3 linked regions of the Drosophila melanogaster genome follow. The protein of the gene in region 3 interacts with the protein of the main gene of each other region in a pairwise test. Each region holds a gene or a part of one and is shown on either strand. Other genes may lie near its edges. The genes, in order: RanBP3, CG4250 and CG5011.

What was found.
Region 1: the proteins of CG5011 (region 3) and RanBP3 interact in a two-hybrid assay, tested with the Drosophila melanogaster proteins (one large-scale study listed by BioGRID).
Region 2: the proteins of CG5011 (region 3) and CG4250 interact in a two-hybrid assay, tested with the Drosophila melanogaster proteins (one large-scale study listed by BioGRID).

What each region holds. Positions count from the first base shown.
Region 1 is NT_033777.3:23,750,746-23,754,507, forward strand, and holds RanBP3 (Ran binding protein 3), read right to left. Parts: upstream 2,090-3,762; 5' UTR 1,975-2,089; coding exon 1,959-1,974; intron 1,831-1,958; coding exon 497-1,830; 3' UTR 192-496; downstream 1-191. Other genes in the region: Rpt5 (regulatory particle triple-A ATPase 5), read left to right, coding at 2,269-2,478, 2,543-2,963, 3,021-3,676.
Region 2 is NT_033778.4:22,662,049-22,665,116, forward strand, and holds CG4250 (uncharacterized protein), read left to right. Parts: upstream 1-1,643; 5' UTR 1,644-1,696; coding exon 1,697-1,865; intron 1,866-1,940; coding exon 1,941-2,073; intron 2,074-2,126; coding exon 2,127-2,229; 3' UTR 2,230-2,426; downstream 2,427-3,068.
Region 3 is NT_033779.5:1,198,667-1,201,844, forward strand, and holds CG5011 (uncharacterized protein), read left to right. Parts: upstream 1-2,004; 5' UTR 2,005-2,193; coding exon 2,194-2,436; 3' UTR 2,437-2,554; downstream 2,555-3,178. Other genes in the region: CG5139 (uncharacterized protein), read right to left, coding at 1-472; CG43348 (uncharacterized protein), read left to right, coding at 784-912; CG43349 (uncharacterized protein), read left to right, coding at 1,574-1,786.

The sequences.
Region 1 (3,762 bases), on a different chromosome or scaffold from region 3:
CTGCTACTTCCACTTAGATTGTACTTTTCGTCGTAACGCTATTTTTTTCTACCAATACATAACTGAATACTGAGTGATGATCCGCTGGAATCCACACCAGATGCCAGTCAGTGGAGCTATGACCAGGACTAGTGCAAGCGCTGAACTTGTAAAAATTATTTCCTAAGCGAAAAGTAGTACATAGGGTTTGTATAGTGATTAAATTAAAACTTTTAATTAGAGCGTGTACGATCGATATCGATATCTTAATTTCGGTTTTCATTTTTAACAAAAAATTATAAACACAAAGCGTAATGGATAAATGTCTTTTGTCGACGCTGCTCACGGGTTTACAAATCAGCACTTCATTTATTTTATTTTTAATAATAATAATTATTAATAAATTATTATAATTAATTTATAATAATTCACGGCGCGCTTTATTAATTAGTGTTTGTTGTGAGTGTTTTATTTCTCCATGTATGAATCGTATAAAAAGAACAAGAGCGAGCGGCGGTTAATTCTGATCGGTTGACTCCTTGGCCTCGGCCTCAGCATCCTCGTCGCCCTCCTCAACGGGCGGCACAGGGACATCGGCGCTGCTATCGGGCTGGACGATCACCTTCTTGGGACTCGGGCCGTAGCTGTCTGCCTCTGCTGAAATGGCACCAGACGGTCCGGGAGCAGCATCCTCATCCTCGTCGTCGTGAGTCGTCGACTCCGGTTGCAAGCTAGCCGCTGCCTCAGAGGCGACGCCGTTTTTCGCTTCCTCTACGGAACACTCCTCGGGATGTGAGACCTTGCGCTTGGCAATCCGTTCGCTGAGCGCCTTGTGTAGCTGGGCAATGTCCGCCGGTCGGCCCATGGCCAGGAAGATCTTGACAACGCCAGAGTTGTCGATGGCCGTTAGTCGTAGGGACTTTTGGCTGGCTCGCTCCGCCACCATGGCGGCCCAGACTTTGGTGTTGAGAAGCAGGCGCAGATTGCCAGAAGTGCGGAACACCACGCGCGAGTCGCCCCTTAAGTCCTTGGCGTCGTTTAAGCGCAGACTGCCGCGACCACGCTCCTCCCAGTTGCTGTTAAGAAAGGCGAATAGCTTGCAGCTCACGTCGATAATGTTGATCTCGTCCTCCTCGCCGGTGAAGGTCTCGACCTCCTCGTATTTGCGTTTCTGAGCGCGGCTCTCCTCATACTCCCGGGCCACATCCGTCAGGCTCTTGGCCTCGGCGGACTCCTTGTTGTTGCTGCTGCTGCTGCAAATGGATGAGGAGGCAGCGGCCTCGCTGGTCTCTGTGGTCTGGGCAGCGTTCTGAATGACGCTTGAGAAGAGCAATGGCGCCGAGGACGACGTAGCAGCGGTGGAGGAGGAGGCAGCCTCCTGGGCTGATACCGAGCTGGCTGCCGTATCTGCATCCGGCTCAGCGGTGACCTGTTCAGCATTGGGGGCCACCACACGTTCATGCACATTCTGGCCGAAGACGAACCCGCTGGACTGAACATTTGGCATGTTGTTCTTGGCTGCTGCAAACATGCTGGAGCGCTCAATGCCATTGCTACGCAGCTTGGTCAGCGGATCCGGCCGCTCGTCGACATCGTCGTCCTCCTTGTCGCCAGTGGACTCGGCTGCCGCAGATCCGGTGGCCACCACCTCCTCGTCATCGTCGTCGTCCTTGGACTCGCGCAGAAACGGATTATTCAGCAGGGCGCTGTCTTCACCTGCACTTGGGGATGTGGAACTATTGTTGGAGCCGCTGCTGTTTGCCAAGACTGCTGGGCGCAGGACAGCACCGCCCAGGCGAGAAGCCTTCAAGGTGAAGCCACCTCGGAAACAGTTAGTTTCGACTGACGCTTCTGGAAACAAGGGGGAAAAAACAAGACTCGTTTGTCAGTTTGTTGCGAACTCTTCAAGGGCACAAGATTCGCGATATTTGGCAACTTTAAGTTATAGCAAGCATTACAGCTTGTTTTGCTACGCTTACCATTATTTTCAGACATTGCAAACTAGTCTACTTGCAATTTTAAAATATAAATTGCCAAATCTTTTACAGAATAGAGCGTTCTGTGTAAAGCCTGCCGTATTGTTATCGCTGTGTTATCGCTGTCACTATCGATAAGCGCCGGCGATGGCGCTCTGTTGTCAACACTGACTTTTTCAGTGTTGCTTACTTGCCGCTGAAAAACAAGAAATTTACAAGTCATCGACAGAGTGTTTGCCCAAAAAGATCGGCAATAATAGCATTTTAACAAAGAATTACATTCAGCAACGGCTAATCAACAATCGTATTAGACATGGCTCAGACTCTGGAGGATAAGTCAATCTGGGAGGACGGGGAGGAGTCCCTGGGCGAGGAGGTGATGCGTATGTCCACCGATGAAATTGTGAGCAGGACTCGCCTGATGGACAACGAGATCAAGATCATGAAGAGCGAAGTGATACGCATAACGCACGAGATTCAGGCGCAAAATGAGAAGATCAAGGACAACACCGAAAAGATCAAGGTAGGGATGACAATGAAACGCCACCCTGCCAAATAGCCTCATTTGTTAAGTACTTCCCCATTAGGTCAACAAGACACTGCCCTACCTGGTGTCCAATGTAATAGAGCTGCTGGATGTGGATCCACAGGAGGAGGAGGACGACGGCTCCGTCACCGTTCTGGACAACCAGCGAAAGGGCAAGTGCGCCGTCATCAAAACATCCACTCGACAGGCGTATTTCCTGCCCGTCATCGGCCTGGTTGATGCCGAGAAACTGAAGCCAGGTGATCTGGTCGGAGTCAACAAAGACTCCTATTTGATCCTGGAAACCCTGCCGGCAGAGTATGATGCCCGCGTAAAAGCCATGGAAGTGGACGAGCGACCTACAGAGCAGTACTCCGACATTGGAGGTTTGGACAAGCAGATACAGGAGCTCATCGAGGCAGTGGTGCTGCCCATGACGCACAAGGAGAAGTTCAAAAACCTTGGCATTCACCCACCCAAAGGTGGGTATCTCACTCGAACAAATGTCACACAACCATATTAATCCTTGCCATTTACAGGTGTCCTTTTGTACGGCCCCCCTGGAACTGGCAAAACATTGCTGGCCCGTGCCTGCGCCGCTCAGACAAAGTCCACCTTCCTCAAGCTGGCAGGTCCCCAGTTGGTGCAAATGTTCATCGGTGATGGTGCCAAGCTGGTGCGCGATGCCTTCGCCTTGGCCAAGGAGAAGGCGCCTGCCATTATCTTCATTGACGAGTTGGACGCCATTGGCACCAAGCGTTTCGATTCGGAGAAGGCCGGTGACCGTGAGGTCCAGCGAACTATGTTGGAGCTTCTTAATCAGCTCGATGGCTTCAGTTCCACTGCAGATATTAAGGTGATTGCGGCCACCAATCGCGTAGACATTCTGGATCCTGCTCTGCTGCGCTCTGGTCGTCTGGATCGTAAGATCGAGTTCCCACATCCCAACGAGGAAGCCCGTGCCCGTATTATGCAGATTCACTCGCGTAAAATGAACGTTAGCAATGATGTGAATTTCGAGGAATTGTCCCGATCCACGGATGACTTCAACGGCGCCCAGTGCAAAGCCGTCTGTGTGGAAGCTGGTATGATCGCACTGCGTCGCTCCGCCAATTCGGTTACGCACGAAGACTTCATGGACGCCATCATGGAAGTGCAGGCGAAGAAGAAGGCTAATCTTAACTACTACGCTTAGACTAAAAATTTGCAGTTTAACTTCACATTGTCAGCTCCCATTAAAATAAACCATGGAAATGTAAAATTTTTCAGTTTCGATCTGAG
Region 2 (3,068 bases), on a different chromosome or scaffold from region 3:
GGAGAGATATATTATGCAAGCCTAGGATTGGGTCAAACATGAGCAACGGACTATTATAGTCAGGTCTAATTGGGTAATATCTGGTTGTTTAGATGTTTACCGCTGCTTTGCCGCTCCCCAAAAAATTTACTTTTGCTTGGGGGAGAACTCAGCAAAGACATACAGGACGACAGTAGGATTTCGGGGGGAATGTTAATCACTGGCGACGGACACACCCGCTGTTAAATAAGGATACTGTGCTGGGTGGTTTGCGCTAGTGAGAACATACATAAATAGATTGTGTTGATTTTGGATAGGACCAGACCGAGCAAGCAAGTTGCACCAAACGACGAGCAAAGATGATGGATGGAATCGGGGTTGAGCGGGGCTCAGACACACGCGGTTGTGCGATGACGGCGTCGGCACGAAGCTTGCCACATGGCACAAGAGATTCCGTGGCCCACGAGGATGACCTCACGGCGGCAGGAGGGATTGCGCAGCACCGTGGTGCCATCGACGGGAGATAAGGCGGATTACAGCTTGTTTTGCATGGCGGGTGTGCAATTAAAATCCCCATTAACCAGCCAATTTAATGCTCATGCACCAGCGGCACGCGACGTATTCAAGTTTTCAAGGTCTGCGCTGCAATCAATATGAGAGTTATTAGAGTTTCCTGTGCTTTCTTTCTGCAGCTCCGCCATCGAAATGTCCACTTCCGTTGGCCCGGAACCGTGCATCGTGGTCTGCCCCAGTTGCCGTCAACAGGTTACCACTCGTGTGGAGCCGAAAGCCACCACCAAGACTCACCTGATAGCATTGATTATGTGCCTTACCTTGTAAGCCATGTTCGATATTGATTTCTTAACATTCTGGGTGCATTCTCATTGAGTGATCTCTTTCGTGCAGCCTTTGGCCCTGCTTGCTGCCTGTACTGCACTCAATGCGCCCGGAACTCCGACCACCACTGTCCATCTTGCAACGCCTACATTGGCACCTACGAGCGCTGAGCAACTTCCGCCGGAAGTTGTTTTTTTTTTTTTGTCGTGGACTGCAGCCAGCAGCCGTGCCGAAATGCAGCCCCCATTACTTATCCCCACTTGATCTATTTTTAACTCTCTCACATTTATTACTACGCACTATTTTGATAACAAAACAAATCATTGTAGTGCCGGCATATGTATTCTTCAGCACACCAATAAAAGGGTTCAAGGAAGAAACGAGTGGATTTTACCTGGGGGTTGATTTGTTTTAGAGACAACGCAATTCTTGAGCAGAGTTGAGTATTTCTTATGTTTTCAATAAATATGCAAATTGTTGTTATATACGTGCTAATAGCATAGCTGGAAGGACCATTTCGGAAGGGTAAAAGCTACTGGTTTGTTTACCTGACAATGGAATACCCTACTAAGTGCTAACATTTCTGTTTTATTGGTAAGTTTTGATATTAATTAATTCATCATGGCTGAGCAATTTCTTACTAAAGCTTTTCATCCTGCAAAAAAAAAAGAACACTTACTCATGTAAAAGCCCTTATTCTGATAGCCACATAATATTTAACGGAAATCGCTTAGCAAGCCATCCGACATAGTAGGGCTATATAGAATTCGCATCGCGCCGCAACTCGAAAGTTCGCCGAGCAATGTTGGAGGAGCTCTCTGCGGTTTCAGTCGCTGTCGGCAATTCAAACGCGTAGCACACATCGGTCGGAATAATTAGAATGGAGAAGAACTTTCAATACGAGAATATGCAGCCTCAGGCTCCGGGTTTCCAGGCACCGCCCAGTTATGATAGCGCACCGCAGCAGGTCTATCCTCAGCTCCATCAGGGACAGGGAGTGATATTGCAGGGTGAGAATACAGAGAACTATGAATCAATCGGAAATAATGGTCAATTCTTCTGTGCAATTCAAACATAAAATATAATATCGCATATTATACGAAATCCAATCGTGCCTCTTTCAGCTCCACCCAATGTCCTGGGCCAATGTCCATCCGTTGCCACTTGTCCGAGCTGCGGCGTCCGCAGGGAGACGAAGGTGGAGTTCGAGCCCAGCACCAAGACCCACCTGTTGGCCCTACTCATCTGCATGCTGGGGTAAGTGCAGCCCGTTTGCTCCACCTGCCCGCAGGACTAATGGCCATTTTCAGGGGCATTTGCTGCTGCTGCATTCCGTACTGCACCGACTCCTGCCAGTCGGCCAAACACACCTGCACCAGCTGTGGAGCCTACGTGGGCACCTACAAGAACTAGAAGTGCTATCTCAACACCAAATATTACAGGGATAGATCCCACTTTGTATCTCCACACCTATTGATGGGATCAGATTTGGCACGAATATTCACGAAATACAACTCTGGTTCAAATCAATTGAATATATGTATGTAATTTTCGCATTGGTTTACTTTTCAAAATAAATTTCTAATCACACAAATTGTTGGCGATATATGAATGTTAACACTTTCGTATATAATATTAATAAATCCCGGAAATTTCTGAGGCGGGAATATATTATAGATATTTTTATCTGAGGTTCTGCATCCTACGCCCTTTATATAACTTCATTCACATTGTTGATCTAACAATCGCTGCCTCTTCTTGAAACTGGATATATATATATATATATATGTATATTGAACAACTTATGTCAATGAACAGTGGAAAAAGGTTTGTAATTTAATACCTAGATTTTATATTTCCCCTCTTCGAATTAAACACTAAACAAAGGAATAGGGAAGAAACAAGGTAATTTGATCGCTTATCCGTTTATTTGATTACAACTTTTTCTGCAATAATACCAATAAAAAAGATGGGCAACAATATTTAGTTAATTTCATATAATTTAAAAAATGTTGGCAACTAGTATCCAGATTAATACCTGAAATGATGCAAATTCGATGTCCAATTTTATTAACATGTTTATATAAGTAAGTTATTATTCAAGCAAGCGGATTTCATATTTGCCGAGATTCATCAGCTTCGCTGATTCCAGCAGTCAGTATTATCATTTCAGTTCAGGCAAATTGAAATGAAATGCGAGTTCAGTAAATTGAACTTGAGCTGCGCTCTAGACGTCAGCGTGAAATGGAAAA
Region 3 (3,178 bases):
GTTCCTCAACCTGTTCCTGATCCTGTTCCTGCTCCTGGTCGTACATCCTCTTCCGCCTGGCTGACCGATACAGTCGCCGGATGAGAGCTCCATATGGTTTCCGCGCCATCAGGTGAGTGGTTGTCTTGTGTATTTCGTAGACGCAATTCGTTTCGAGACACACAAAAGGCTCCTCCACCTGCAGGATAGTTTCCGATCTGAGATTGGGTACTGGCATTGGTAGCAGACTCCTCTGTTTCAAGATATTGATCTTGCTCTTCTTGACCACCCTCCTTTTCTTGGCAGGATTGGGTGCTGTAATGGCACCTTGGATCTCCGCCTCGAAGGATTCCTGGCGCCTGGAGGCCTTGCTCTTCAAGGCCGAAACCGTTTTGTATCGGTTCTGGATATCGGTAATGTTTCTCAAGGTCTGCTTAAAAGCAACCTCGACTTGCTCGACTTCCTGCAGCGTATTCCACAGATTCTTTTCCATAATTTGTTCACGAGAAAATTTTATACAATAAAAAATTTGAATACAAGAATGCACACTCCTCCCACTTCAAAAGATCATACGAATATACAAATCCTGTTCGATTGAAAAATCAGGGAAGCTAGATGTGTGATTTTCTCGTTGCGTTGTCATAGGGAAATTCCGATATGACCACCAAGTACTCACCTTATCGCAAAACAGGCTGATAAAATGTTTTAATGGGAAAACCAATGCCTCCAGCAGTCTTTCGTCACTATATATAGCGTGGAAATCGGGGTAATACTTTAGTTCAGAACGGAAATCGCTTTGGAAACATGCCACCACCACCGCACCAGCCCCACCAACCGCACCCACCGAAGGGTCCTGCGCATCCTGGGGATCACCAACCAGGACCGCATCCCCCTCACCACGGAGATCCGAAGCCCCATCACGGACATCACTAGGCCCATGGACAAGGACTATAAATAAGATTCAATTTTATACAGAACAAAACAAGATGGATACTTTTTAGGGAACTTAGTTTCTAATAGAAAGTCTTAAAAACTCTTCAAACCAAAGAAATAAAAGCCTGTACAAAATACATAGCTCTACTCTTTTCTATATCTTCAATGTTTATGATCTTGAATTGGTGATACTGCTTAATGCATTCTAAGCTTCCATTAATTTGAACAAAGCATACATATGATTTGAAGATCTAAATGCTTTTTAAATTATAATACACGTCCTAAGTGCAACGTACTAAGCTTAAGAATTTGTTGCTGATTGTTGCTGATTGTTGCTTACAAAAATAAAATATTATAACATCTCCATATTGTTGTACTTATGAACTACATGCAAAGTCGTCATTAACTTATTCTTTAAGTCACATATAGACATATCAGTAAACAATTCGCTTGTTTGTTATTACTAATTTCGAATGTCATACATTTGTTTTTATTGAGCGAAGTGTTGTTGTGGGAAAACCCGAAACTTACTTATCAACCGAACTGGGCTCGTCTTATCTGAAATTTAGATAAGATTACAACGTATTCGAATCATTTTCCTATAAATGGTTTGACAGGATAGGCTTTAGCTTAGTACTCAACTAAAGTCAGAAAAGTCAAGATGCCACCTCCACCGCACCACGACCACCACCATCATCATGGGCCACCACACCATGGACCTCCCCACCATGGGCCACCGCACCATGGTCCTCCACACCACGGGCCACCGCATCACGGGCCACCACACCACGGACCGCCGCACCATGGACCTCCGCACCACGACCACCATCATCATGGACCACCACACCACGGTCCTCCAATGCATCCTCGATGAGAACTATAATACAATATAAGCCGAATTTAACGTTATAAACTGATATGGAAAAACTTAATCGTTAACTGTGATTAAGCCACAAACTAACATTAAAATATCTTCACTAACTTCTAGTTAGTTTCACCAAGAGCAAAATGTTTTTATTTTAGAAATTGTTTAATTTTATAACACCATTATAAAGATACTGATTCTAATAAGCAATTAGAAGAATATTGAAGCAAGAATTGATTAAGTATGATTAAGTATCAAAAAGCCAGCAGATAAGGTAGACAATTATATATAAAAGAAAGTCCCTCTCCACTAGAATGCAGATAAGATTACAGCCTACTGAAACTATGTTACTTTTGTATAAAAGGTCTGGCAGGAGTGAGCCAGTTTAGTGTACAACAGAAGCCCGCCAAGCAAAGATGCCTCCTCCACCACCGCACCACCACCACAACCCGCCGCCTCATGGGCCACCGCCCCACGGACCACCGCACCATGGACCTCCGCACCATGAACCACAGCCCCCGTTCCACACGCCAGTGCATCCGATTTACCACGAACCTCCTCACGGAAACAGCTCCGGCTACAATCCTCCGCCGCCGCATGGTCCGTATCCATATGGTCCAGGATACGTGGCCCCAGGACCTCCAATGCATCCGCGATAAGAACTGAACTGTAATCTAGATCGGTTAATATAGTGTGATATCAACAAATGTACATTTGTGTGTGATTAAAAAATATGCTGCTTTTAAATATATAAACTAACTTTAGTTAGTCACGCCTATGTGTGATTCAAGTTTTATTACTTGTAGCTTCTATGCCAACAAACAATCCCATTTCGAGTATGATGATATATGCGCCTAATAAGATAAGGACGGTTTTTTGGAATTCCCATAGGACCGTCATAAAGATAATCCATTGAAAAAGTCGTCATTCTTTAGGTGCGTTATGATAGCTTATTTTCGGGTACTATCAAATTCTTGAGGTAACACGTCATTACTAATATTTCACTAGGAAAACAATCAATCAATCAGTCAATCAATCACTGGATTCTTTATTAATACGTGGGCTTATCGTATTAGTCGAATGTCATGAATTCTTAACTGAGCATATCTTTGATTTATTGGCTCTTTTCCATTCCATTTGTTCAAGAATAATATTTTTGTTTTTATTTTGAACGCTGAACTATTAGTAATCATGCATATAAACCTGTTGTAAACCTTATCAATGAGTTACTTCAACTCAACGCTAGATAAAGCTGTGCAATCTTATCGATAGGAAATACGCATTTGCTTACATTAGTCAGAACCTAACTTAGATTGTTGAGGTGATTTTTGGGGTACGCCACTGTTGATTTTTAGGGAAAGTACAAAGGGATGATATAATATATAACTTTAAAGACTTATT